2 linked regions of the Astyanax mexicanus genome follow. The protein of the gene in region 1 purifies or fractionates together with the protein of each later gene. This does not show direct contact. Links are inferred from orthologs where the notes say so. Each region holds a gene or a part of one and is shown on either strand. Other genes may lie near its edges. The genes, in order: slc7a11 and otud5a.

Region 1 (15,905 bases):
ATAATATAGAATTTGGCTCAGGCCACAAGTACCAAGATCTCAGTTGCTGAGTATAATATGGGAATCAGCTCACACCATTTGCGCCAACACCCTGGTTGCTGAGTATAATATGGGAATTGGCCCACATTGCTTGTGCCAACACCTCAGTTGCTGAGTATAATATGGGAATCGGCCCACAGAATATTTTAAGAAATTATATTAAGAACCTCTACAATTTCATGAGGAAATGTCTGGCATGTCACCTGACACATGCATTATAAGTGCTACATGGACCAACACCCCAGTTTCTGTGTATAATATGGTAATCAACCCAAGTCACTTGTGCCAACATCCTGGTTGCTAAGAATAGTATTGGTATCGGCTCAATCCGCAAGTATCAAAACCTCAGTTGCTGAGTATATTATGGGAATTGGCCCACATCACTTGTGCCAACACCCTGGTTGCTGAGTATAATATGAAAATTAGCTCAAGCCGCAAATACCAGCACCTCAGTTGCTGAGTATAATATGGGAATTGGCCCACATCCTTTATGCCAACACTCTGGTTGCTGAGTATATTATGGGAGTTACCTCAAGCCGCAAGTACCAAGACCTCAGTTGCTCAGTATAATATAGGAATCGGCCCACATTATGTATGCCAACACCCTGGTTGCTGAGTATAATATGAGAATTAGCTCAAGCCGCAAATACCAACATGTCACCTAACACATGCATTACACATGAATTACACGTGTTACACACTAGCTCAATAAATATCACCTATAGCAGTCTAAATGTTTAATCAATTTTGGTTCCTGGTAAGTTTTATCAGAAGTGCTAGATTGCAGTATAGTAATGGGTCACAGTGAGGCCTTCACAGTCCTAACACTGCACACATACCAATCCTGCAGCAAACTTTACTTTAATAAATAGTGTGTGGGTGAGTCTGTCCCAGTGGTTTTGACAGCCTTTAAGGTGGATGCTATCCTTCAGACTGGTTGAGCCTGTCTTTTTTACAGCTAATACTGGCAGCCTGGTGAGTCTCCAGCCATTCACGTCCAAACAACACATTCAGCACTGTTAAATGAGGTGATACAGCTAGATAATTAGATCTTCAGATCACTTCATTAGGGAAGAACTGGCAAAAAAAGAGAAAAAAAACACAGCTTCTGGACCTCCAAGAATTTCCCCTGACTTCCATAATGAACAAAGCTCATTTTATTACACAAACAATCCTCTGTCTGTTCTAAATGATGTTCTGTAACAGCGAACAAACAATCTTTAATCTCAGAAACACAACCGGCATGTGACGCTCGCACGAGACAAGACATTTAGAGATCTGATTTGATGTGTGGAGGCGGTCTGTCTCTGATGGAGGGCTCTATCTACATCACCACCACAGTTTCTATGGAGTAATTTCTATAAAATATTCCTTCATCAGCTTATTTGCAGAGTTATTTAAAAGTACATAGATGAATGGCATCAGCAATTCTAACTATTCCAAAAAAAGCATGGAACAGTGGTTTCATCCTAAGCGGAGTGTGTGTCCACAGGGGTATTGCTTAGTGTTTCCACACTGCAAATGAACCAGAACATGGCTTAGATGATCCAAACTGAGACCAGCTCTTTTGGTCAGACCGAATTTTAGTTCCTTTTCTTTTTGGACAAAACTTCGAAGGATTGCATCAGACTTCAAAGGTCCAGTTCAAACTCTGAAGTTTTGGAACAATCTCCAAGGTCTCCATCCAAACAATGCAGGTTTATAAAGTAAGATACTCTATGCTTCCAAATCTGGCACCTATTGCCAAGAAATACACACAAATGCGCACAACTTGTCTAGTTCTTTTATATAAGCACTAACCTTACTGTAATTGGTCTTGAAATTCCATATGTTTAAAAAAAATGGTTTAATTTCAAACTAACCAAACCACAGTTCATTTGAGACAGTTGAGACTAAGACCATCCAAAATGTCAAAAATCTCTGAATGGCCAATGCTGAGCCTGTGTTGAATTGCCTTGGGTTCGAATCTAGTTTGAATCTAGATCAGATTTTAATCAGAATGCTAAGGTCACATCTGTACACCCCAGTAGCTATGTATAATATTGTACTTGACTTGTGCCAACATCCTGGTTGCTGAGTATAATATGGGAATCGGTCCAAGCTGCATGTGCCAACACCTTAGTTGCTGAATATAATATGGGATTTGTCCCTAGCCGCATGTACCAACACTTCAATTGCTGAGTATAATATGGAAATCGGCCCGGGCTGAATATACTAACAACTCAATTGCTGAGTAAAATATATGGAATTGGCCCAAGCTGCATTTGCCAACACCTCAATTGCTGAGTAAAATATGGGAATTGGCCCAAGTTGCATTTGCCAAAACCTCAGTTACTGAGTATAATATGGAAATCAGGCCGAGTAACTCCAATTGCTGTGTATAAACCACATTGGGCCCTGTTCTGCATGGCCAACGCCAAAACTCAACTGATGCTGCCATACCTGAGCAAAGCTTGGGCCGATTTCTTCTCGTCTCTAAGCCTCTTCTGGTCAAAACAAATTTTGGTTCTTTGGTTTCTTCTGGTTCAGACCAAACTAAAAGTCTGGACCAAAGAACCTAGGTTTAAAAACACCTTTAGGGTCTTTTAGCTCTCTGTCCCCTGTTGTTTCTGAAGGATGGTGGTAGCAGATCGGGCCGAGAGTGAAAACTATGGCTCGAAATTCTTCTGTTCTTCAAAGCATGCAGGCGGCGGCCCACAAAAGAGTGCTGACAAGTGTGAAATGACTTCTGACACACACATGAATACACACACACTTAAACAATACTGCCCTGACACACAAATGAATTCATGCCCCGTACACAGAGCCATCAACCGCCACAGCCTTGCTTCTGTTAAGAAAATAACTACCAAGACAATACAAATCTCTCTGCTTCTCTCTGTCTATCACACACACACTTATACACATACATGCACAAAAGCTCTATCATGCACACACACACACTTCCATGTTTGGCCTTGGGGCACAGACCCTCCAATCACAGATTATAGAGTCTTTTAAAGGTGAATTTAGCTTATGTTACCTTCAAGCCATTCTAGATATCTAGATCTTACACTGGACGCCTTCTAAGAACCTTTAATCGTTTTATATTAATTGCTTGGAGCAATTTAATTAAAACCATTAGCCCATAGAACTCCATTCAACAGCAAAAAAACACAGTAACACATTGTAACCCACTGTAGGAACACAGTACACACACTGTACCCAACTGACCCAGACAAAAATGTCACTTGCAAAGACACTGTGCACATTTTTGCTTGTAAAACACATTCCAGGAGCCTAAAACATGTAGTTACGGTTGTTGGAATCAGGAAGAATCAACTGAGAGGAATGAAACCTGGTGGGTAGTTGTGACAGACTGTCAGGAAGTGATCCGGGATGTCAGCTAATCATCTTCAGTGACAAATCTTGCTTTTGTCTTGATGCTTACACCCCGGTTTCTGAGTATAATATGGGAAACAGCCTAAAATACTGGTGTCAACACCCCAGTTGCTGAGTATAATATGGGAATCTGCCCAAATCTTGCTTTTGTCTTATTGGAGACAATGGTCTCATGGCATGGGGTGCGATTTTGCTGCCAGATCACCTTTGATCTTTGTTACAGACACTTAGATAGCCCACTGTTACATTAATGAGGTCCTGCAACCAGTGGCCCTACCTTTTCTGAATGCACACCCCAGTGTACTATTTCAACAGGACAATGTTCGTGCATATGCTGCTACCAAAACAGTTGAAAAATGATTGGAAATGTTAGGGTATCAGTCTTTCCTGCTGGAAGTAATATGGATTTATTCCAATTAACTGAACCCAACTGATGCTGAGCCTGGGGACGTGGTGGCTCCATAGTTGGAGCACTGGGTGGAAGATGTCAGAGATATGGGTTTAATACCCAGGTTTAGTAAACTGCTCTCCTGCTGCCCACTGCTCCAGGAATGTGTGCTTAGTGTTGTACTAGTCCACATGCTAGTGGCTCCATGCTTTGAACTGTAGAGCAGTGGAATGATGGACCTCTGTCCAATACTTTTGGATGGGATGAGTTGGGGAGTTGGGGATGAGGTGGGGTATTGATCATCCTGGCCTCCATCAAATCCTTACAGCAATGCACAAAAACATAATAGGAAGTCTTCTCTGGACAACAGAGTCAGGAAGAATTCTTATTTATAGTCTCGATTTCAGAAAAACAATGAATAAGCAGGTGTCCCAATACTTTTGGACATATAGTGTGTGAATAACCATGTTCCTAATGTCTTAAGAGTGTGATTATAGCTGCTTATTCTTTCTATTTTATTAAATAATCAGCACTCATAGCAGGACCGACTATAGACAAAACAATAAGGTGAATAAGGTCAGCCTGGGAAAAAATGCAATCGCTCTGACAGGCATTGTTTGGGGGAGGACAGAACATGAGTAACTGACAGCAAACAGAATGGATATGGAAATAAAGGTGAACACCACCTGTGATTAAAGCTAACTAAAGCAAACAATGGCACCTGCTGTTAAAGTACGACTGCATGAGTTGCGGTTGTTGTCAACCCACGCCTCATTTATTTATTTATACCAGAAGCACAGCGTGACTATGAGCAGAGCTATGAACTTTAACATGAAAAATATAGCCTGACTTAAAATACACAAATACATGGAGAGTAGATTCATATTCCTACCCACCTACTTCTAAAAGCAGAGATTTCTCTTTTTTCCTTTTCAATATTTTTTGAACACAACTGAAACAAAATTGAAATAGCAAGTTGAGTATGCTTGGCCTATAGGGGCAATTTTACCACATAAAGAGATGCATCATCACCCCATGAAAAAGGGGAAAATGCAAGCATAGAAACGAATTCCCCCCAAAAATTGTATCCCATTTTCTCCCCAATTTACAAGACGAATTACCAACTTACTCATTAGGACTCCCCCGATCATTAGCAATGCCTCAACAACAGGACGGCTCGGAGGAAAGCGCAGCGACTCAGTTCTGATACATCAGCTCACAGATGCCTTGTGCTGATCGACATCACCCTTTGGAATGATGTGGTGAGAGAGAGCCATCTACCCACCCAGAGAGAACAAGGCCAATTGTGCTCTCTCAGGGCTCAGGCAGCTGATGGCAAGCTACATGAATGGGAAACAAACCAGCGATCTCCCGATCATAGTGGCAGCACCTTAGTCCTCTGGACTACTTGGAGCACGAAATGTAACCCTAAGAACCCTACGGACGGATCTCACCTTGTGTTCTCAGCTTAATTACTCAGGAATTCCTTCACACAGAAACATAATCCATATAATGTTAGAAAGGGTGGAACTCTTTCTAAAAATAGCAATCCAACCAATATTATTTACCTTTACTGCTTCAAACATATTTATATGATGTTTCGAACCAAATAATATCAGTAAATGACTCAAAATGACTCAAAATGTCCACAGAAAAAGTGTGAAACTACCTGCACTCAAACTAAAGCTAGATATGGCACGACTTTATATAGTTTTTATTTTACTTGCACATTTTTACTAAGTAGTTATTTTGCACTAAACATTTTTATTTATTTTATTTATCATATTATTTTAATTTTTTTGTGTGTCCTGATCAAAATACTAAAAGGCATAGGCTGCTCTGAGTGTCAGGTGTTTAGTAATCTACATGTATCCTAGAGGTGTGATTATCAAGAAAAAGAAGTCCATGTAAACCATGTAATGAACTATCATCAATATTCTTATACTTTCATACTTCTCATTTACACTATAGTCTAATCATTTTTGAAAGGATATCTTAGGTGTGAATATATTTAAAGTATATACATTCAAAAATGAGTAAAATAAAAAACTTGGAGGAGCTTGGTAAAATTTTGACCAAAACATGACCAGTTCCAGGAATATATAACAATTCTGCTTCCTTTTACATTTTAAATTATGATATTTTTGAGCAGCCGTATGGCTTCTGGAGTAAAAGAAATCAGGGCATGTGTCTGTCTGATATAATTACTGTGTTATAAGACCTGAAAAAGAGGAACTGACAAAAACGAAGAAAAAAACAAACACACCAAAACAGCCTAGGGTTCAAAGGTTTAATCACAAATTTAAACACTGCTGTATCATGCAGTATTGAGTATTATATGAGTGTAGTAATGTTTAGTAATGTTACATTTAATATACATTCAGTTTAATATGAGCTGAGGCCAGAAAATGGACCATCCAAGTAAAGTGTTACCTTTTTTTTTTTTTTTTGTCACATAGAACATATTTTAATCCATGTTTGGACTAAACACACAGATCACAGAACTGTGTCACACCCTGGAAATTGGTCAAATTAGGATTGGGCTATGCAAATGATTGCGCTTCATCAGTGTAAATACCGGTTAAACTCCCACAGGGAGCAAAACAAACATCTTTTCAGATCTGCTGCCTCTCTCTAGTTGAAATGCAGAGTGAGGTGGACGGAGGCCAAGCCCCCGTTCACTGTTTCCCAGCCTGTGGGCCTGTTCGTGTCAGAGGTGCATTAAATAAACACAGGAAACAATGAGGCCTGAGTCACAGGAGCGAATGAGGAGAAGCGGTTCCTGCCCTGAGTTACAGCACCTGCTGCTCTAACGCTGCGGCGCGATGTACTGTGCTCGGCTCACGAGCTCGCATTACGGAAGCGGCAGTGACAGTTTTGTTCACACACACACACAAATAGACACACATAGAGACACACACACACACACACACACACATACAGAAACCACGTGTCCGGCTTTTCAGGAGCTGCCGGCATCCTGCTCTGTACCTGCCAGCTGCTTGTCATTCATTACAGATGATAGATTGAATTACACGCTGAGGAGCTTGTGTGAGGTTGGGGTTTGAGTGTAGCGTGTTTGGCAGGTAGTAGCCAAGCGCTGACTGAGTGTTTGGTAATAAGTGACATGAGACCTTGGTTATAACACCTTGGTACCTTAGTATTAGTCATGACTCAGCAAAAAGTGGGTTTCTGTTTGTTACTATTGAATTCCTATGTTTATTCCATAAGGAGTACAGAATATCAGCACTGTCCAATGAAAAACACTTATCTCCATTACTGTCATATGGTATATTTTTAGTTTACTACATAATTTGAACAGTCAAAATTTCTTGATGAATGGACCAATAGAAACTCTTTAAAATGACCTGAAATAAACTCTTTTTACATCGATTCCATTAAAAGTTTACAAGATTTTTTCTCTTTTAGGTGTTTTTCATTGGACAGCGAGGATATATATTGAAAATACATTGAACATACTGTATATATGTACGTAAAATGATCATAACTGGTGGTGTCTGGCTAGAATTGTCCATGCTTACAGCTTACAGCTTCTGGCAAACTGGCAGAAATCAGATCCCCACAATCAACACATGACATACCCATAAAACCACTTCCTACACTGATTACTCTACACTTTCTAAATAGCTCTATAACTACAAAATATAGTGTTATAGTACCAGTTTTACAATGATCAGGACCCCACAGACAGGACCACCACAGAACAGCTATTGCTGTGTTTGAAGGATGGGTCACAGGGTTCAAGTGCTGGTTCAGATACACAGCAGTGCTGCTGGAGTTTTTAAACACTATGTTCACTCACTGTCTTCCACTGTATTAGACACTTTTATCTATAGCAGCTCCACCTTGTAGATAAAGTAGATAACATCAGAGACAGAGGACACTTTTTACAGGATGCTACCCACAAGACAATATTGATTGATTACTCTCAGTCTAGCACTGGTGCTAAGGTGTTTAAATACTCCAGCAGCACTGCTGTGCCACTGCCTGTGTTGAGAATGAGCTATTACCCAAATGGTAGCTGCTCTTTGGTGGTTCTGAGGAGTTCTGACCATTAAAGAGAAAAGGATGATGAAAGGATGCTAACTATGACAAGTATGAATATGCGGTACCACTTTAAAACAAGACTACCTTAATAATCAGTTATAACACATACGTAGAAAGGGCAACAATATAGTTGGCAGTGGGATCACTATTTGGCAAACAACAGGTCATTGTTGCCCTTTCTATGTATGTGTTATAACTGATTATTAATGATTTTTAAAGGCATTTACAACCTGATTAGAAACCATTAAAAACTAGTTGTAAACCATTTATAAACCCTTTATAAAGGTAGTCTTATTTTAAAGTGGTACAGAATATGCTGTATATTGAATATCTATTATATGACTGTGAGTGTGTGTTTTTTTTCCCACTCACCGAATAAAGACAGGACCCCACAGGCCACCCACACCACCAGGGACATTCCCACGCTTCCGGAATTTTTCAGGATGCCCTTCGGAGAGATGAAAATTCCCGCTCCAATGATGGTGCCGATGATGATGGAGATTCCTCTTAGCAGGGTGACCTTTTTCTTCAGGGCCACTTTACCTGGGGGGCCACATGCAGCCTGGACACCCCCATCTGTTTTAGTATGGCCATTCTGAGCTGTTCTCCTGCTCATTTTTACCAAACTATCTCTTATACACTCACACACACACTCACACTCTCACGCTGACACACACTCACACCACACACTCACACTGACACACTGACACACACTCTTTTATAGTCTGAGAGTGAAGGCCGTAAAGCCGCGTGTCACTGAGCGTCTCTCTCTCTAAGGAGGGAAAAAACCTGACAGGAACTAGGTGTTCCCACAGACCCGGCACAACTTTCTGATTGGCTGAGGGCCGCCCAAACTCATTCACTCCTGAATATTGAACAGCTCTAAGCCAACCTCTCTCTCTCTCTTTCTTTCACACACACTCAAACACACACTCACATACACACTCAGACTCACACACACACACACCTCTTTTTCTCTTTTTACTGTTTTGTTCCTCCCCTTCTCTGCTCTGCCCTTTCATCAGCGCTCTGTGTGTGAATGTGAATGTGTGTGTGTGTGTGTGTGTGTGTGTGGGAAGAAGTGTGAAGTGCAGACGGTCAGATCTGAGTCATGATGCAACAGCAGAGTTCACCTGTTCAAAACTCTACTAATACTCCAATAATACTTTACTTATGTCATAAAATGCCACTAAAACTCTACTACTACTCGACTGATACTCTACTAATATTCTACACACACGTTACTAATATTATTAACAATACTCCACTAACATCCCACTAAAACTCTACTAATACTCCAATAATATTTTTCTAATGTTATAAACAATACTCTACTAACATCCCACAAACACTCTACTAATACTCCAATAATATTTTTCTAATGTTATAAACAATACTCTACTAACATCCCACAAACACTCTACTAATACTTCAATACTACTTTACTAATATCCTAAACAATACTTCACTTACATCCCACTAACAGTCTACTAATACTCCAATAATACTCTACTAATACTCCAATAATACTTTATTAATATTATAAACAATACTCCACTTACATCCCACTAACACTCTACTAATACTTAAATACTACTTTACTAATATCCTAAACAATACTCCACTTACGTCCCACTAACACTCTACTAATACTCCAATAATACTTTACTAATATCATAAACAATACTCCACTAACATCCTACTAACACTCTACTAATACTGCAATAATACTTTATTAATATTATAAACAATAATCCACTAACATCCTAATAATTATACCAATACTCTAGTCATACTCCACAAATACTCTACACAACACATTTTACTAACATTATAAATAATACTCCAATAACATCCCACTAAAAATCTATGAATACTCTTTTTCTACTCTGGTAATGAGCTACAAAACAAACCTTATTAATATTATAAACAATACTCAGACTCTAGAAATATTCTATACAACAAACTTTACTAAACTCTGCTCATGCTCTGCTAATACTACACTACACACACTGTACTGAACTGTAGCGAGTATTGTATTGTGCTTCTCTTATCTACTTCACTCTCATTACTACTCATTTTTCTTTTCATCTCTCTATCTCTGTTCTACTTGTTTTGTTTTTATCCCCCCTCTCTTTTTGACTTTTCTCAGCCTCACTCTTTCTCTCTCTTTAATTTTCTTTCCCTCTAACTTTCTGTTCTCATTCATTATCTCTCTCTCTCTGTCTTTCTCTCTCTCTCTCTCTCTCTCTCTCTCTCTCTCTCTCTCTCTCTCTCTCTCTCATTCATGTGCTGTGATTAGTAAGTCGGTGAGGTTTAGCCCGAGGGTGAATTCTTTTGTTTCTCTCTGAACTACAGAGAACCTCGACTCTAAACCAGACACGGTCCTGATCCAACTGCTCTTACAAACAGTCCTTCACAATCTGCAATTCTGGGTCAAACTGATAAAAGTGCACAGAAGGACTTTCAGCCTGTGTGTGTGTGTGTGTGTGTGTGTGTGTGTGGGTACAGCTCTGACGGAGGAACAGCATTGAGGAAATAGGTGATGTGAGTGATGCAAAGTTACATCAGCCTTAGCCCCGCCCCCAAAGAGCAGACTGCATCACCGTCTCACCGTCTCTAAACCCACACAGCAAATTTACACAACACCTTTACATACACAATTACACAACACACACACAGTTGCACAACACAGTCTAATAACACCACATTTACACTCTATACACAACACACACAGCTACACAACACAGTCTATTAACACCACACTTACACTCTATACAATACATTATATTATCACTACACTCACACTCTACACAAAACAACACACAGCTACACAACACACTATATTAACACTACACTTACACTATACACAACACACTTAGCTACACAAAACAGTCTATTAACACTACATTTACACCATACACAAAACTTACACTCTATAAAATACAGTATATTAACACTACATTTACACTCTATACAAAAAAGTATATTATTACTACACTCACACTCTACACAAAACAACACACACTCTATACAACACACTATATTAACACTACACTTACACTCTATACAACACACTATATTAACACTACACTCACACTCTACACAAAACAACACACACTCTATACAACACACTATATTAACACTACACTTACACTCTATACAACACACTATATTAACACTACACCTACACTCTACACAAAACAACACACACTCTATACAACACACTATATTAACACTACACTTACACTCTACACAAAACAACACACACTCTATACAACACACTATATTAACACTACACTTACACTCTACACAAAACAACACACACTCTATACAACACACTATATTAACACTACACTTACACTCTACACAAAACAACACACACTCTATACAACACACTATATTAACACTACATTTACACTCTACACAAAACAACACACACTCTATACAACACACTATATTAACACTACACCTACACTCTACACAAAACAACACACACTCTATACAACACACTATATTAACACTACACTTACACTCTACACAAAACAACACACACTCTATACAACACACTATATTAACACTACACTTACACTCTACACAAAACAACACACACTCTATACAACACACTATATTAACACTACACTTACACTCTACACAAAAAAGTATATTATCACTACATTCACACTCTACACAAAACAACACAGACTCTATACAACACACTATATTAACACTACACCTACACTCTATACAAAACAACACACACTCTATGCAACACACTATATTAACACTACACCTACACTCTATACAAAACAACACACACTCTATACAACACACTATATTACCACTATACTTACACTCTATACAATACAGTAAATTATTACTACATTCATACTATACACAAAACAACACACAGCTACACAACACACTATATTAACACTACACTTACACTCTATACAAATAAGTATATTAACACTACATTTACACTCTATACAATATAGTATATTATTACTACACTCACACTCTACACAAAACAACACACACTCTACACAGCACACTATATTAACACTACACTCTACACAAAAAATATATTAACACTACAGTCACACTCTACACAGCACACTATATTAACACTACACTCTACACAAAAAATATATTAACACTACAGTCACACTCTACACAGCACACTATATTAACACTACACTCTACACAAAAAATATATTAACACTACAGTCACACTCTACACAGCACACTATATTAACACTACACTCTACACAAAAAAATATATTAACACTACAGTCACACTCTACACAGCACACTATATTAACACTACACTCTACACAAAAAATATATTAACACTACAGTCACACTCTACACAGCACACTATATTAACACTACACTCTACACAAAAAATATATTAACACTACAGTCACACTCTACACAGCACACTATATTAACACTACACTCTACACAAAACATATATTAACACTACAGTCACACTCTACACAGCACACTATATTAACACTACACTCTACACAAAACATATATTAACACTACAGTCACACTCTACACAGCACACTATATTAACACTATTACACTCTACACAAAAAAGTATATTATCACTACACTTACACTCTACACAAAACAACACACACTCTATACAACACACTATATTAACACTACACCTACACTCTATACAAAACAACACACACTCTATACAACACACTATATTACCACTATACTTACACTCTATACAATACAGTAAATTATTACTACATTCATACTATACACAAAACAACACACAGCTACACAACACACTATATTAACACTACACCTACACTCTATACAAAACAACACACACTCTATACAACACACTATATTACCACTATACTTACACTCTATACAATACAGTGAATTATTACTACATTCATACTATACACAAAACAACACACAGTTACACAACACACTATATTAACACTACACTTACACTCTATACAAATAAGTATATTAACACTACATTTACACTCTATACAATATAGTATATTATTACTACACTCACACTGTACACAAAACAACACACACTCTACACAGCACACTATATTAACACTACACTTACACTCTACACAAAACAACACACACTCTACACAGCACACTATATTAACACTACACTTACACTCTACACAAAACAACACACACTCTATACAACACACTATATTAACACTACACCTACACTCTATACAAAACAACACACACTCTATACAACACACTATATTAACACTACACTTACACTCTACACAAAAAAGTATATTATCACTACATTCACACTCTACACAAAACAACACACACTCTATACAACACACTATATTAACACTACACCTACACTCTATACAAAACAACACACAGCTACACAACACACTATATTAACACTACACTTACACTCTATACAAATAAGTATATTAACACTACATTTACACTCTACACAAAACAACACACAGCTACACAGCACACTATATTAACACTACACTTACACTCTACACAAAACAACACACACTCTATACAACACACTATATTAACACTACACTTACACTCTACACAAAACAACACACACTCTATACAACACACTATATTAACACTACACTTACACTCTACACAAAACAACACACACTCTATACAACACACTATATTAACACTACACCTACACTCTATACAAAACAACACACACTCTATACAACACACTATATTAACACTACACTTACACTCTACACAAAAAAGTATATTATCACTACATTCACACTCTACACAAAACAACACACACTCTATACAACACACTATATTAACACTACACTTACACTCTACACAAAACAACACACAGCTACACAACACACTATATTAACACTACACTTACACTCTATACAAATAAGTATATTAACACTACATTTACACTCTATACAATATAGTATATTATTACTACACTCACACTCTACACAAAACAACACACACTCTACACAGCACACTATATTAACACTACACTCTACACAAAAAAACATATATTAACACTACAGTCACACTCTACACAGCACACTATATTAACACTACACTCTACACAAAAAATATATTAACACTACAGTCACACTCTACACAGCACACTATATTATTACTACGCTCACACTCTACACAAAACAACACACACTCTACACAACACACTTTATTAACACCACACCTACACTCTACACAAAACAACACACACTCTACACAACACACTTTATTAACACCACACTATACACCAAACAGCACACTCTACACTCTACACAAAACAACACAGTTACTACACTCACACCCTTACACAAATAGCACTTTTACACAATTGTCAGCAGGCTTTAATATTATCAAGACACACACACGCACGCACACACACACACACTGTTGTTTCAAACAGGAAGTGCTTAAGTGTTAGCCAGCATACCAATAGTGTACTGTCACTGTGACAAAGCAGTATTTCTGCACAGTAACTCTACTTTATTTAGTTGGAGGGCGTGGGTGTATCTAAAATCATTATTATTCTGAGTCACGAACAGCACACACACACACACACACACACACACACACACACACACACACACACACACACACACACACACACACACAGACACATACACACACACACAGTTAGATAAGCATTTCAGAAGGGAATTTGCTGAGGCTGTTGATGGTCAGGTTTTTTATTGTTGCAGGCCTCACCTGCGCATGGCTTCGCTGCAGGCTAAAAACTAAGGGAGATAAGGGTCATCTTATCTCATCCTTCATCAGATCACTGCTTAATTAGACCAGGTTATCAGTTCAGCACAAAACCAGCACCAATACCAAAGCTATGATGGATACAGTACCAGCTACCACCCCAGGGAGACCCTGAACCAACATACCAGAAGTTTAGACCTGCTTTTTGGTTCTTCTTGGTTCTTTAATTAGTCAATTTTTAAAATGTCATTCATCTAGAAATCATATAGTCAGTTTTTTTTTTTTTTTTAATTTTGGGTTTGGTGATTGGTAACCATGCTGGAAGTGGTTTGGGAATTGCCAATACTTGTTTTTTTACATTACTGATGCAGAGTTTAGACATCATTCCCATTATTGAGAAACACTTCCCAGAAGATCACTCATCAGAGGTGATTTTTCATACATCACCTTCCTGTGTGTGAGAAACAGCTGGAGAAAAGGAAGCGTTTTGGTCTAATGAAAGTCTCAGATCACACATTCCAAAAACATTTTGTCTAAATGGGCATTAAACTAAGCATTGCTAATACATAATGGAATACAGTATTTACATTTGGGTTAATAAATATAAAAAAATATATATTGTACTTAAAACATATTGAGAAATGTCTAAGTGTGCTGTACATATACTAACAGATGTATGTACAGTAAACATATATTAAAAGTACAATAATATTATGCATCTAATGTGTGTAAGTAAAATTTGATCAATTTTTATTTCTAAAAAGTACAATATAGTGTTTTAAAAAAAATATATATGTATACTATGAAGTACAGCTTATATGGCTTTGAGCAGCGTGTGTATTTCACGCTTCAGGCACACAAAAACGTGACACTGATACGCTGCCCCTAGTGGACCAACGTGTGTATTTCACACAGGGGCGTGATACTGGGTTGGAAGTACACTTTTAGTTTAATGTAATTCAATATACTTATAAAATGCTTATTTCAAAATATACTTTTGTTCATTTTTAGCAAAGTGTGTTAAAAACAATCGTTACACTTGTTCACTTAAAGTACAATGTATCATGTAACTTTTTGGAAAGTAAATTAAATTACTACATTTAAAAATAATACAAATTGTAGTACAGTACCCAACAACTAGAAGTACTAAATGTGTGCTACTTACAACAGAAACAGGAAGCATATTTGTACTCTAATATAAATATATTTAGCATCAATTTTTAGTACAGTTTCTACTATAGCTGGTGTATAATAGTGATACACTTGTAATACTCATTAAATGTATTATAATTTTACT
Region 2 (15,824 bases), on another chromosome or scaffold:
GCTATGAAAAATATATTAGGCAATATCAGGCCAGCAAAAATGGTTGAGGTTGTATATAAATATTGTACAATAAGCCAATAATGTAAATATTAGGCCTGTCATAATAACATTTTTTTGTGAAATCATAGCAATAAACAATATTATTGTCAATTTAAGGCTATTAAATTCCACTGATATAACGATAATATAATGGCAGCATAACATACAATCCATATCCTTATAAAACCAATAACATCATTTTTAATTAATCATATATCATATATATTAATATATATATATTTCCATCTACAGCAGTCTGTACAGTACACACTGTGTGTATCGTGTCACAGTTATTAAAACATTGGTCTGGTATTGCACGACTGACTAAAATATTGTTCACTGTTATATTTGTGAACAAACACACAAATAAACATAATAAACAATATCACTATTATCATATACTATTGAGGTCATGTCCATTTAGTGTACGATAAGTGTATAAATTACACAGGACACAATATAGACCAATCCACACAGAACAGGAAGCAGGGGCTGGTTTTATTATTGTTCAGAAGCTAAGCTAATGCTAACTTCACTATTTTAAACAGCATTTCACAGACTCTCTGCACAGTTCTGTTTACTAACATTTAAGTAGTGAAAAAAAACATTATACTTATTTAACTCAAAAAGCTAATAAAACATTTTAAATTCTTATATTTAATCTTATATTTTATACTTATGAAGTTTCATTCATAAGGAACACAGATACTGCAGTTCCTGTCCAGCAGACCCATGTCATAATAAAAGCCTCAACTTCTGCACACTGCTCAGTGAGTTTAGCACAAAGTGGAACTGTTATTATTATTGATCACAATAAATAGGTCTGCTTCCAACAATTATTTTGATTATAAATGATTAAACTAATGATTATTTGTTTTGCTTAATTAATTGTTAACCGGCTAAAAAGTAAATATATTTGTTAATATAATTTATTTAACGCATTCAATATATCTGATCAGATATTGTTTAGATATGTCAACTATTTTAACATATTTTTATTTTAATCAATTATTTGTTGCAACTCTACATTAAATAGACAAAATATATAGGCAAAAAAATAATGGAAAATTAAAGCATTTAGCCTTTGTTATTAAAAAAATTAAATACACAACTGCAACAATATGAAAATTAAATGTTATTATTGCATATATGATATGATATGGCATACCCCTAACTGAGATATTAAAAAACAAGAATTTTATCTAGATTTAGATTTGTAACAGAAATATCTTCACATATGCAGGATTAAAGTAAAATAAATTATACTTTATAGATATAATCTGTCTCTAGTAGATATATAATGGGAAACTTTTAACTAAGAATATTTTCTTTTACTAAAAACAGCAAAAAAAAGTAGAACCCTAATGTGATAGGGGTGGGAGGAGATATAGCATAATATATATAATTTACCATATCAAAAAATGTTGGCGATGTTTTTATGCGTATGATAAGACATGACACAACATACCTCCAATAGTGAGTTACATAGAGACACAGAGAAACAAATCTAATTGTTTAATCTACAGTAGGGTTGCAACCAATTTCTTTTTTGTTGTTGTTGACTAAACTGATGATTATTCGATTAGTCAGAAGTTGTTTCTGTCATACATTTCTTCAGTTTTAAATGAAAAACAGCTGATCGTGAGATGTAAATGCCCTTTAAAAGCCCAGATTTTTAAATGTGGACTGTTCTGATATTTAGTGAGTAAATATGTAATGAGTTATGTTTGAGCACTTTTGGAGACACAGACCAAGTTGCATGTTGCAACTGTGTGAGTGTTCCAATTACCCCTTTATACAACATTTTGTTCTTACACTGCAATGTGATTGGCTGAGAGGCGTTCTATGAGTGCCGTTATCAGCCGGTAATGCACTGTAACCGAAGCTCTTCATGTATTAGGCTGCTACATACAGGTAACCTAGCAACGAATCAGCGCTTACAAGCCAAACAGCGCAGCAATAAACAGAGCAGCAATGGAACTATTTTAACTCACTGACTCACTGAAATTTGGAGTCGACATTTTTTAACTAAAAAAAAAAGGTTACAAAATGCAAAAAGGCTGAAAATAAAAACTAATTTAAAGCCCCTAGTATCTCCTTTATGAAGATTCTAACAGCTAAAGAAATTCCCAGCAGAGGAAAATATGCAATTAACTGCCCTGGAAAATCTGCCCTCAGATACTCGAGCACTACTGTTGTGTTTCAGTGTACCAGTTTCTCTAAATGATCTTCCCAGAGAAGTCCCAGAAGAAAAGGCCTTGTGTATTTTAAATCAGCATTTCTCAACCCAGTCCTTTGGGTCCACCTGACAGTTCTGCATTTTCGCTCTAACCTAGTGTGTTGGGACCTGGGACAGAGCTGAAACGTGGAACCGTCAGATGAGTTCTAAGGACTGGGATGAGAAACATTTTCTTGTCTTCTCTGGGTTGAGAAAATGTATGTGGTGCACCATTTCTCATAGCTGGAAAAAGCAGGGGACTAACATAGCAACCAAACTGACGAAATTAGATTTTCATGGCAGATAGATTAGATATTATTTTTTTTTGTTGTTAAAATATTTATTTTTGTTTGATTATGGCTTCAAGATTCAGTGAAACTGTAAAAATAGCAGCCGAACTTCTAAAGTCTAGACAGAATATATTCAGACTGTGCAGTGTGACTGACGAGATGTGTATTTTGTGTTGTATTGTGTTTATTTGTATGTTTGTTCACATATAAAACAGTGAACAGTATTTTATCCAGTCATGCTTCAATAACTGTGACTCCATACTCAAAGTGTGGACTAAGGTAGGTGAAAAAATAAAGTATATATTTCTCAAACTAATTATAATAAATGAATTATTCAAATGTTGTCATCTTTACAAAGTGTATAATTGATTTTTTATGCTATTCTTTTATCATTATTTCAAAATCTGTCTCAAATGACAAAAATATTGTGTATCGCAATAATTTCTGGGACAATATATCGTCTACCAAAAAATCTTATCGTGACAGGCCTAATGACAGTGCAACTTCACCTGTGGGGTTGAAGAGTGTTTAAGAGTGTTTACTGTAATATCGGCTAGTTTATTTTATTTAAAGTTTTAATATCGTGTCATAAAAGAAAAAAAATCACTCAAACTCTCATAACATTTTATGCTTATATAGACTGCGGATGCAGTGGGAAGATGTTTGTTGTTTGATACCTTATCATCACTGCAGTACAATATCCTAACAGTAATAAAAACAGAAATAAATGTCAACAATATTTATATACTTAAATGAATGTTCATCAAGTAGCAGCTTTCCCAAGCCTTTATTATTAGTATTTTATTTCTGTTATTACTATGATTAACCACAAAACACTGCTGATGCTTGCTGTCTTCATTAAATTAGGATTTCCAGTCTGCATTTACACATCATAAGCATCTGTGTTTTGATACTTTATCTGTTAGAAACCATCTAAAGGTTCCACCTCAAGGTAATGCTCAAAATTCAACACTTTTACATTTATCAGGTTATTCTTTACCAGGTGATCCAAAGAACTGTGTTCAATCAGGGCTGCACAATATATCTGTTTCAGAATAGTTATTGCAATGTGTACATGTGAACAATTAAAGAGCATTTCCTGATACGATATTATCATGATACATTGCCCATAATAATAATAATAATAATAATAATAATAATAATAATAATGGCATTACAATTCTGTAATTTACAAGACAAATCTCTACGATATTTCATATCTGTTTTAAAGATAATAAAATACTCCTAAATAAGCAAGAACAGGAATTATGGATTGATTTGTGATAGTTTTAGCGCCATGTGGTGTAACGAAGCATTTAGTAACAAAAATTTAGTAAGACAAATTAGGGGTGAGTCTTAAAGATTATCGCTAATGCATCGCAAACTATATCTGAGACTACATCTGCCTGATATTTATTTTACTCTGAATTTAGATGCACACAGATGTGCTGTCATTTTTTCTTTATATCAATCTCGCTTCTGTCCATTCATTTCCCACCCCCCCCCTCTCTCTCACTCTGTCTTTCTTTCTAGAACTCTTTATTCATTTTTGTTTGTTGAATATCTGTCAATCCATTTGTTTTACCCTTTTCTGTCTTGTTCTTATCTTGTCACTCTTTCTCTCTCCTTCTTTTTGTTATTTAACTCTTTTATATCATGCCACTGATACAATATATTGTGCAGTCCTACTTATGTAAATTACTTATTTTTTAATACTTTATTCATTTGTATTTTTATTGTACTATGTAAAAGTTAGTTTTAGCTTAATTTTAACTTTTTGTATTAATCTCATTTTTAATCTTAATTTCTTAATTAAAGTAGGTATTATTGTTTTTTTTTATTTTTTCTTTCTGTCTTGGCTGCATGTTTCTTTCTGTTTATGCTATATTTTTCTCTTTCTTTCACCCTTTCTTTAATTCCAGGGTATACTCTTCTTTCTGTCTTTCTAGGCTTTGTTTCTTTCTGTTTATGCTATTTATTTTATTCTTTTTTCATCTATTTTTATCTTTTAGTTTCTGTTTTTTAATATGACTAAACGTAGTTATTTTCTTCGTCATGTCAGTCCTTGTATTTGTAAATGCTCAGCTACACTGAAAATGAGGGTTGTCCTTAATGCACCTCCGAGTCAAAATAATGGTTGATTGGTTGATATTTGAGTTTTATCTGCATATATTAATTTATTAGTTTGCTAGAACAGGGTAAGAATCACAGGTGTGCAGATTTCAGCAAGTGATTTAAAAGACGAGTTGAAACAGGAGCCCTGCCCACAGGAGGCAGTGATGGAGGGGATGTCAGAAATAGTCGCCGATTAATCGACGAATCGGAAAAAAAATAGTACAATACCCTGCAGTACAATATCCTTGTAAAATGAATGATCATCTCACTATAAACACCTGTATTTTGATAGTTTGGCTGTGAGAAACCAAGTTCCACTTGAAAGTGATGCTCAAAATTCAAATCTTTTAAACAGGGGGCAAATTTAGTCGCTGACTAATCGACTAATCGAAAAAAATAATCGTCAGATTAGTCGACTGCCAAAATAACCGTCAGCTGCCAAAATAACCGTCAGCTGCAGCTGCCTTAGCTTAGCTTATTTTGGTGATAGCCAACTAGCTATCTAGCTAATGTTTACATACACAAACGCTGCATATTTACCTGCTCAACTGTTGCTGGATCTTCTGACTGGAGTCTGGAAGCATTCTCGTACTCATCTTCACTGTTGTACCCGGCACCCTCCTCCTGATCTGGGCCTGGACCCACACCACCACCCCCGGACACACCGGGTGTCCCCCCGCCCGCGACTCCCCCAGAGCAGGTCGCCTGCCGCCGCCGCTTGCTGAGACCCGGCCCAGAGCAGCAGCTGCCGATAGTGCCCCCACAGCCCACCACGCCGCCCGCTAGCTCCCCGCGACCGCCGGACACGCAGCTAATCCCGCCCAGACCGCCTCCGTCCCCCGGGCCGGCGGGGGATCCAGCTCCCACCGGCGGAGGGGAGGCCTGCTGCGGCCGCGAGCTCGATTCATTCCGCCTGTCCTCCCTGGACTGAGGCGGCGCGGCTTGATATGACCACGGCGGCGGTGAAGCTCTAGGCCTCGCCCCGGTCCGCACAACGCCGTGGCCGTGCTGGTGAGGGTCGGAGCCGGCTCGCCTGTCGCTCTCGTCGGCGTGGTCCTGGACCCCGACCGTGGAGCTCGGCTTCTTCTTGGGCAGGATCGTCATGTTGGCTGTGTGTGCGCGGAGGGCAGGGAGGGGGGAGCGGGAAGAGGAGGAGGGGTGTCAGGGGTGACGAGTCCTCCGGCTCGGGGAGAGCTCTGCGCCGCCCGTGCTTCAGCCTGGCCGTCTTCTCTGGACCGAGGGCTCCTCCCTGGAGGTTTCGGGTAAGGTAAGGCGTCGTTTTTGTGGGTAAAAAGCGCCGCGGAGAGAACAAAAACAGCCCAAGTCTCCGCCGCCGCCGAGCCGCCACTGCTGGAGCTTCCCCTCCGCTCAGCGTCCAACAACATCAACACAGCGCTGACGACACGGTCGCGTCACTTCCTCCCCTCATACAGATCGACAGATCCAACACCCCCCCCCCTCCAATCCCCCCCAAACCCCCCGGCCACGGGCTCCCATCAAACTACCCGCAGCCCCGCTCCTCTTTCCTTCTTTCTTTCTCTCCTTCTTTCTCTCTTTCTTTCTCTCTATGATTTTTACTTTATTTACTTTTTTATTTTAGGCTATATTCTTATTTCTTTCTTATGCTTTCTTTGTGTCTGTCTTTCTAGGCCATTTTTTCATTTTTCATTTCACTCTTTTATTTCTCACCACTTCTTTCTTTCTTTCTTTTTTCAGTTCAGGCTATATTTCTTCCTTCCTTTCTTTACTTTCTTTCTTTCATTCACCCTTTTTTCTTTCCTTCTATGCAACATTTTTCTTTCTTTCAATGACATATTTTTCTTTCTTTCTTTCTTTCTTTCTAGGTTATATTAATCTTTTTAGGTTACATTCTTTCATTTTTTCTTTATTGATATCTGTTATTTATTTTCATATTTTTATTTTTTGTTTTCTTTCTTTCTTGCTTTCTTTGTTAGTTAGTTAATCTCTCTTTGTTCTTTCAATTTTATTTCACTTCTTTCTTTCTTTCTTTCTTTCATTTGCCTTTTCTTTCTTTCTAGGCTATATCATTTTTCTTTCTTTCAGTCTATTCTTTTTCACTTTTTTTCTATGCTGCATTTTTTTCTTTTTCTTTAGTCATTTCCCTTTTCTTTTTTCCCTTTTTTCTTTTTTATGTATTAATTTCTCTCTTTTCTTTCAATCTTTTCCTTTCTCCCTTTCTTTTTTCTTCTTTCTGTGCTGTATTTGTCTTTTTTTCTTTCTTCCTTTGTATTTATTAATTTCTTTGTGATATCATCAAGAGGGTTAAGGCAGTGCTAGATAATCATGGTGGTCACACAAAATATTGAGAAATTTAGTAAGTATTATATATGGGACTGTCCAAAGTTAAATTGTAACATTTATATTTTTTCTGAAAAAAAAAGCTCAAATATGTTAAAATTTTAACATTTAACAGTTTGTTTAGTCCCTGTATAAAAGAACTACCAATAGAATAGGACTCTCTCGAGCAGACTAACAGTAACCACTGGCATCATTCATGTCTTATACCAGGGTTGGGCTAGAGGGACTTATTTAGATAAAATAGCTAAAAAGAAATAATAAAAAAAAACAATAAAGGTTTTGAAGACCTCTATTTTTTTTAGTAGCAGTGCCTCTTTGACCCAAAAAACAATGACTTTATTTCTGCACTTCACCTGTCAGACCTCTAAATTTTCTCTTCACTGCTGAAACTGAGACTTAGTCCAATATTTCCATGTGGGTCAGCCAGACGTCCTCCTGTAGCAGTTTTTTCTTCAGTTTCCAAGAGTCTTTTGAAGGTGTAGAAAACAGGACTCACCACTCTCTGGCTTCATCTGTAATTTCTCTAAAGAAAAGACTTTAACTTTTGATAGTTTTGATAGAGTTCTCTGTGTTTCTGTATCATTTTCTTTTCTAGTTATTATTATGGTTATTATTATAGTTATATATATATATATATATATATATATATATATATATATATATATATATATATATTTTTTTTTTTTTTTTTTTTTTCCCTAATTTCAGTTAGTTAGTTTTTTTTTTTTTTTTTTTAAGTTTACTGCATTTTTTGCACACTGGATTTTAGATCATTTTCAGTTATTGGCTGTACCTGTAGAACTTAATTTACAGAAGAGGAGAAATGTTGATATCTAACTAAAACTTTTAGAATTACTAACATCTAATATGTATTTTTTAAAGTAGTTCTATTTTTCTTAGAAAAGACTTGAAATATCCCTTTTAAAAGGGAGTATACTCAAAAGTATAAACATTAAAAGTACATTTTCATGAATAGTTTCATAAAAGTCTGTATTTCCATGAATTGTATTTTTAAGCAATGTGCTTTAAATTAAACATGCTGATGGAAAATATATCTCTTGGCATTAAATACTGCTTAAAGTGCATTTACATTTAGTACATTTATATTTCAAGTGTAATAAAAAATATGTTTAATAACACATAATATGAAAAAGCACTCAAAAGCACAATGTAATGCTTTTATGTTGTATTTAAATATTTAAGCTTAAAATTATAAAAGTTGCCATACGTTGTTCCATAATTGTACATTTAGTATCTGTTTAAGTACGTATTAATTTTATTGTTGAAATAAAATAAAAAAAAACTTTTAAAATACTTTTAAAAAATATACTTAAATGAACTTTTCTATTGTAAGGGGTGCAAAAGTATCCACTAACTACAGACTTACTGACTGATAAAAATCTATAATAATCTATAAAAAATCTATTAAAAAATGAGAAATGTTATATATATATATATATTACCATTTTCACTTCTTTCTTTGTAACATACATCAACACATATGATAAAAAACAGCATATTTCAATAAGAAAATCACACAAAAGCAGATATTTGTGATATTTGTGTTTATTTCTTTCCGATGTTTCTGCATACAGTCAATTGTCTTCTACTGAGCACAGACCAACACGCCTAAAGCAGTACTGACCTACAGTACCTCGAAATATAAACAACAGTCTGTCCTCCTATTACAAAATACCCTGCTATTCACACAGATAAAGCAAATATATGCCATCAAGCTCTTCCACCACCAGAGGGCACGTGTGTAGCAATAAACTCCAGGCATTGTTCAGAATAACCCAGTGCTCAGAGCCCCAGCAACCAGCATCCAGCAGCGGGTAACACAAACCGTGAGCGGTGAGCAGACAGTGCTGTAATTATTATCATCAGTGCTGTAATATTGCATTCTATAGGAGTGGACACCACATTTAATACGTGATTATAAACAGCTATCAAAACTGTTAAGTGTTTTTATTACGAGCGGCTGAAGAATAAAACATGGTACGATTCGAATGGATGTGAGGATAATCCAGCACTGTGTGCAGCAATGTTAACTTATGCATTTACAAATATCATTTAGAATAAATTCATGAATAAATAAACGTATAAACTACATCAAAAACAAAGATTTACTTCATCAACTTCAGCTTGATCAACTCAGGTTTAATAATGCATTATACAGATGTCCTCTGCGTATCTGACCGTGACAGGTCCTTTGAATATTTGTCGTTTCATCTTTGGTTCAAACAATAACAATGACAAATTCAATAGACAATAGAGACAAAGAGAGAGAGAGAGAGCATCCCTGCAGATCTGAGCTGATTACTTTTGGTTATCATTATCATTTACTTATTATTTTTATATGAGGATTAGTGCTATGATTAGTGTTTGCTATGCTATGCTTTTAATATAATGAACACTGAATAATGTTTAGTGTGGTATTATTATTAGTAGTAGTACATATTAAATTATACCCATACTTTTCAGCTGGAAAGCAGAACCTTTTGTCCAATATGTGAACTATAGGCTTCATGGTGGCCAGTGATAGTGATAGGGAACAGGAAGGGTTCAATATGGTCCTCGTCTGGGTTGTACACGACTCATGGGACCGATCTTCTGTACTGTATAAACTCACTCAGACAGTAGATTGAGTAACTGACAGTAGAGATGGTGTGTTTCCCCTAAATATAATTCTTGATTAATTTGCATTAAAAATGAATATGTTAAGTTAGATTCCAGATATATTTTAATGCGCAAAAAAACACACTTCATTCACTTTAATATCTGATCCATCCAGCTCTGGAAAACAATTTGACCACTTAAAAATGTTTCTTTGACTTTACCAAATTTAAAAACCTGGAATATAATCAAGAGGAAGATGATCAAAAGTCATAAAACCAAACTGAACTGCTTGAATTTTTGCACCAGGAGTGGCGGCATAAAGTTATCCAAAAGCAGTGTGTAAGACTGGTGGAGGGGAACATTCCAAGATTCATGATAAAAACTATGATTAAAAAACAGGGTTATATCACCAAATATTGATTTCTGAACTCTTAAAACTTTATAAATATGAACTTGTTTTCTTTGCATTATTTGAGTTCTGAAAACTCTTTTTTGTTATTTCAGCCATTTCTCATTTTCTGAAAAATAAATGCTCTAAATGACAATATTTTTATCTTATTTGGAATTTGGGAGAAATGTTGTCTGTAGTTTGTAGAATAAAACAACATTGTTAATTTTACTCAAACATAAACCTATAAATAACAAAATCAGAGAAACTGATTCAGAAACTGAAGTAGTCTCTCTTTTATCAAGAAATATTAATAGGAAATTAAGAAAGAAACTATGAAACTAGCTCAATATTTCTTTCATTTTAGCGAGGATGAAACTGAAACTTCATGTGAAGCATAGCTGTTGTGCGCATGCATCTCATTTACACAGAGCAACCTGTTCAGAAAAAATGTCAGATATGGATCAAATTAACATAACCTTCGATTTTTACACTCCTCTTTTCAACACATATTCAATTCAAGAACAGACTGTTTAGTTGCTGCCTAATGTGTTAACTACACCCTTTAACAGACGCCACAGTAGATGAAGATAAAAGTAAAGTGTTTTCCTCTTTACCCGTCAGTGGTGTTAATGATGTGGCTGATCTGTTTATATTTCTGTGTATTTCCTTGGGCTGGCCATCTGCAGCCGGAGGTGTTTGTTTATTATTTGCTGCAGAGGCTAATCAAATTACGCTCTGTAATGGAAAATTAAACACTGATTTCATTGATGGTACCTTGACGCAATCCTGTTCCCCAACCTATCACGGCCATCATGCCTTTTAAAGGAGAATGAATATTGAATGTGGCAATATAATATAATATAATCAGCAGAGAACTGAAACGGTCTCTCAGTAATGAAATTGTCAACCATGTAACGAGGTGCTGAACATACTGTGGAACGATAATACACAGCGCAGAACATAAATAATAACCGGACAGTGGAAAAGCCCGGCATTCTGTCCAAACTAAAGTGTTTGTGGATTTCAATCAATAAACACACCTTTACCAGGAGTAAAGCAGCATAAAGTTATCCAAAAGCAGTGTGTAAGACTGGTGGAGGAGGAGAACATGATGCCAAGATGCCTGAAAACTGTTCAGAGTCATTCCACCAAATATTGATTTCTGAACTCGCATTATTTGCATGATCTTTTTTGTTATTTCGGACATATCTCATTTTCTGTAAATAAATGCTCTAAATGACAATATTTTTATATTTAAGAATTTGGGAGAAATGTTGTCAGTAGCTTATAGAATAAAACAATAATGTTAATTTAAATTTTACTCAAACATAAAGCTATAAATAGCAAAATCAGAGAAACTGAATCAGAAACTGAAGTGATCTCTTAATTTTTTCCAGAGCTGTATATACACTGACATGCCAAATGTCAGGAAACATTCAATAGGAATAGGATAGTCTTGTGTCCCATGACTTTTGCCATGTCCAATCGAAGCTGAAGGATGCTGCGCAGACCTGCTGGATAAACCTGTAGGGTCTCCAGCAGGTCTGAATTTTCTGTTCATCTGTTCACATGGACAATTGTACCCAGATGCTGCCGTTCACGATCATAACCACCCACTGCACTGTTGTTCACTGTGGGTTAGATTAGAAGTATAAATTGGCCTTTACTCACAAGATAACACCTCACATTGTACACAGGTGTGGGTGTGAGATCTTGATAAGTATCCATATTGCTGTCGTCTGACTTTTGGAAATGTCAGTGTATTAGGCCTCTATATGGAATCTCATTTAAATCATATCATATAATAAACATATAAGTGAAAAGAACAAAGTGATTAATCAATAAGGAGGAATAATATACATTCAGAAAATTCAAAATCAACAGATATCCAAAAGTGCAAAGGCCAAGTAAACACAGCTGCCTGGCCGCTGTAGCAAATATTCATTCTGCTTGACGGCTAATTAGTCGCAGGTGACAACAGCCGGCAGGTAAAAGTCGCTGTTATTATTACAATACAGGTGATAATAAATGCAGTGGAAATAGAATAGAGAATATAGAATATAGAAGAAGAAAAAAAATCCTGTTTCAGGATTGTGCGAGTGTGAGTGAGTGTGTGTGTGTGTGTGTGTGTGAGTGTGCATGTGTTTACCACCTTCTCGCATCTGTGTATTTTTAGACGTGAGAAAGAAAATAAATAAATAAATAAATACTTTGTGAGCACTGAAAAACAGCATGCAAGAACTCCATGCAAGAAATCCAAATGTGTGATCTGAAGATCTGAAGATCTCGGTTGGATTAATGCTCATATGGTGAATAAATTATACAAATAATTAGTTAACGTAGTAGCATGCCTCATGTTATAAATGCTCTCGAAAACTCGTAGTGATGTACTGTTATTGCAGGAGTGTGTTCGGCTGGGTACGGAGCTGAAAAGCTGACGTGAGTATTCCAATCTGCATTTTGTATAACTGAATTATATGAAATAAAATAAAATATTTAATTGAAATTTTTTGTAACAAAATAATACGATTTTTAAATATTAAAAAATAAATCTGCTTCATATTTAAAAAAATCTATTTAATGCAAAACTCTGCAATAAAAATAAAAATACAGGTCATAGGTGATACATTTGAATTTATGGATCTGAAAATGTTATGTTATAATGATTTTATTTATTAGGGGTGGGAATCACAGAACATCTCATGATATGATAATATTATCACAATACTTTGCATACAATAGTGATAATATCATGATAATATGATTCTGCAGTACTCGATATATTGCATAGATGTATCAGAATTTTCTATGATACTTCACAACATCTGTTTTATTGACTAGGATTAAATACACCAAAAATACACCAAAAATTTATTGGATTTATTTTTGGATTTATTGGTGTCAGTTTCACAGAATTTGATAACTAATATTTTCACTATAGATTTACCCCATTCATTTGATTTGATTAGCGCCACCATGTGGAGTAATGAAGCAGTAACTTCAGTCAATTGGGGGACATATACCTAAGTTTCAATAAAAATACTGATATTGTCGCTGTCCAATGAAAAACAAGTATCTCCAAAACAGCACATCTACAGGAGAGAGATAAAACCTTCTTATCTTTCAATGGAAGTCAATGTAAAAGAGTTTATTTCAGGTCATTTTGAAGAAATTCTATTGGTCATTCATTAAGAAATGTTGACACAATGTAAGGGACTGTTGGTTTGTTGACAAAAATGGAGATACTTGTTTTTCATTGGAAAGCGACGATATCTAACATCACATTTGGTAATATATGGCTAAACTAAACAAAATCGATACAATATATTGCAATATCAATATTTTCTCCCACCCCTGTTATAATGAGGCTATAAAATTGTATCCTCTTCTAAATTCAAGAAACAAAAAAGCCTTGTTAAAATCTGACTTTCTGATTAATATAACAAAAAAACAGGTAAGTTTATTTCAAACATACAAAATGCAGATTCAAATACTTATGTCAGCTTTTAAACTCCATAGCTGGGCACTTGTAAAATTCCTCTACTCTGTACACGACCGTTTCCACAACTGCAGCCGAGTGTGGTAGTAGTGCTCTTTTGTCGGCCGGGGAGGGTTATACAATCTAAAAATACATCTTTCACAATGACATCTTAGTAAGTAATTACATACTCATCTATGTACAGCACCATACACACTCTCAAGTGAAGTCTCTTTTTTCTCATCCTACTCTGACGACGTGCTGGGCACGACTACCACATGTACGTCTTTGAGGTGTCTATCTGTGAGTTCTGGGGGTCGACGGGACCTTCCTTCTCTTTCTCTGTCTCGTTCTCCCACAAGTTGATGAGTGGAGGGTACAGCTCGTTGAGGGGGATGGAGGTGGCGTGCTGCATGTACTTCTTCAACGAGTGGTGGCAGGACTTCTGCTTTATCCTTCGCCCCATGTAGAACACCAGCAGGGCCATGATACAGATGGCGAACATGGAGCCCATGACCGCCGCCAACGCTACGTTGCTGGGTTGGGCGACCATCTCCACAGCAAAGCTGGCTTCTTTGGTGGTCACGTTGATGCAGGAGTGCTGGGTTTGATGTTCTGTAGACGACATGGTCAGGCAGACCCGGTACTCCGTTGAGGGCAGAAGGTGGGTGAGGTTGTACTCTTGGACGTCTACCGGGACTTTCGCAGTGTAGCTGATCTGAGGGTTGTCGATTTTGATAGTGGCACTGAGCCACTTGGGTTGAGGCAGCTCACGCCCGGAAGCAGGGACAGATGGGTACACTTTCCATTCCAGTACTACAGACTGTGCATGGATGATTTTCGCCAAGACAACCAAAGCCCCTGTGGTGTTCAACCCCCATTTCAGGCCACCCCTCCGTTGACCATCACGCCAGTTGCCCTTGTCTACGTACACCGAGACACTACGAGTGTCTGCACCTTCTGCATTCCACGCTACACAAGTATAGAGTCCAGCATCCTCTGGCTCAACATGGAGAATCTCCAAAGCACCTTGATCCTGCATCCTGTGCTTTCTTGTGCCAACACTTCCCTCATTCATCACTGGGGACACTGTTTCTGAAGTAACTTTATCACCCGTGGGAGTCACCCAGTAGAACTGCGGAACAGGATCAGCCACAGCCCAGCAATCCAACGTCAAGGGCTGTCCAGCCGTGACGTTAAGTTGAGGTGGAAAGGTGTGCAGAGATATAAGTGGCAAGCAGGTGTTACTGGCCATGTTCCAGTTAGTTGACACCACTTCCTGAAGGGAGTGTCCAATAACATGTGGAGGAGAAGCGCACATAGTGAGCTGGGATTCCAAGAGTTTGAGACTTGACTGGTTTCCAAAGACTGGCCCCCAGTTTGAGAGGCAATCGCACCTGAGTGGGTTGCTGTGGAGGCTGACCTCGTCCAGGTTGGGGAAAGAGGTGAAGACCTCGTGAGGAAGGAGGGTGAGGTCATTGTTGTGGGCCAGCAAAGTGCGCAAGCCAACCATGTCGCGGAAAGCACCTCGATCGATGTAAGAGAGGTGAGGGTTGTTGTAGACCTCTAACTTGGCCATCTGCGGGAGGTTGACAAACGCGCCTTTCTCCAAAGCCACCAGCTGCTCCATGTTATTCATGCTGAGCTCCTCCAGGTGTAGGAAGTCCTGAAAGTCCCCTTCCTGCACACGAACAATAGGGTTCTTGTTTAGGTCGAGGAACTTCAGGTTCGGTAGGGAGTGGAGTGCATCTTTGGGCACGGCTGTCAGCTTATTGTCAAAAAATGAGAGACTCTCCAGGTATTCCAGTCCTTGAAAAGCTCCGGCAGGTATTTCCCTGAGGCGCATGCCAGCTAGCACCAGACTGTGCAGTTTAGAAAGCGGGTGGAAATTCTTGTCTTGCAATCCGAGTATAGGGTTCTCGCCTATCATGAGGATTTCGAGGTTTGGCAGAGACTCAAACCATTGACTGTCGATAGCCACTAGTTTGTTGGAGTTCAGATGAAGCCTAAGGAGATTCCCTAAGCCAGAGAAAGCATTTGGGCCAATTGAAGATATCTGGTTATGGTTTATATAAAGCTCCTCAAGGCTGATTAAATCTTTCAGGCAGAAATCAGGCAATTCCTTAATCTGATTCTCCTCGAGGTACAGGGTAACCAGCTGGGTTAAGTTACCCAATCCGACGTCTTGGATCTGCGTGAAATGGTTCTGAGAAAGGTCCAACTCCGTGAGGTTGGCGAGACTCCGGAGTTCTGAGGTCACCACTGAGATGTTGTTGCTCTGGAGAAGCAGGACCTGAGTGTCAGCAGATATATTCCGTGGAATGGTGCTCAAGTGGAGCTCATTGCAGTCCACAG

What was found.
Region 2: the proteins of slc7a11 (region 1) and otud5a purify together in Homo sapiens (affinity purification with western blotting; 3 studies listed by BioGRID, with this or other methods). This does not show direct contact. The link is inferred for Astyanax mexicanus from reciprocal best matches to the Homo sapiens genes SLC7A11 and OTUD5.

The regions. Positions count from the first base shown.
Region 1 is NC_064417.1:29,470,026-29,485,930, reverse strand, and holds the start of slc7a11 (cystine/glutamate transporter), read right to left. Parts: upstream 8,634-15,905; 5' UTR 8,493-8,633; coding exon 8,249-8,492; intron 1-8,248. UniProt on the Homo sapiens protein: Heterodimer with SLC3A2, that functions as an antiporter by mediating the exchange of extracellular anionic L-cystine and intracellular L-glutamate across the cellular plasma membrane.
Region 2 is NC_064419.1:3,681,866-3,697,689, forward strand, and holds the start of otud5a (OTU domain-containing protein 5-A), read right to left. Parts: upstream 6,063-15,824; 5' UTR 5,767-6,062; coding exon 5,203-5,766; intron 1-5,202. Other genes in the region: si:ch211-180f4.1 (leucine-rich repeat neuronal protein 1), read right to left, coding at 13,741-15,824. UniProt on the Homo sapiens protein: Deubiquitinating enzyme that functions as a negative regulator of the innate immune system. Has peptidase activity towards 'Lys-48'- and 'Lys-63'-linked polyubiquitin chains. Can also cleave 'Lys-11'-linked ubiquitin chains (in vitro).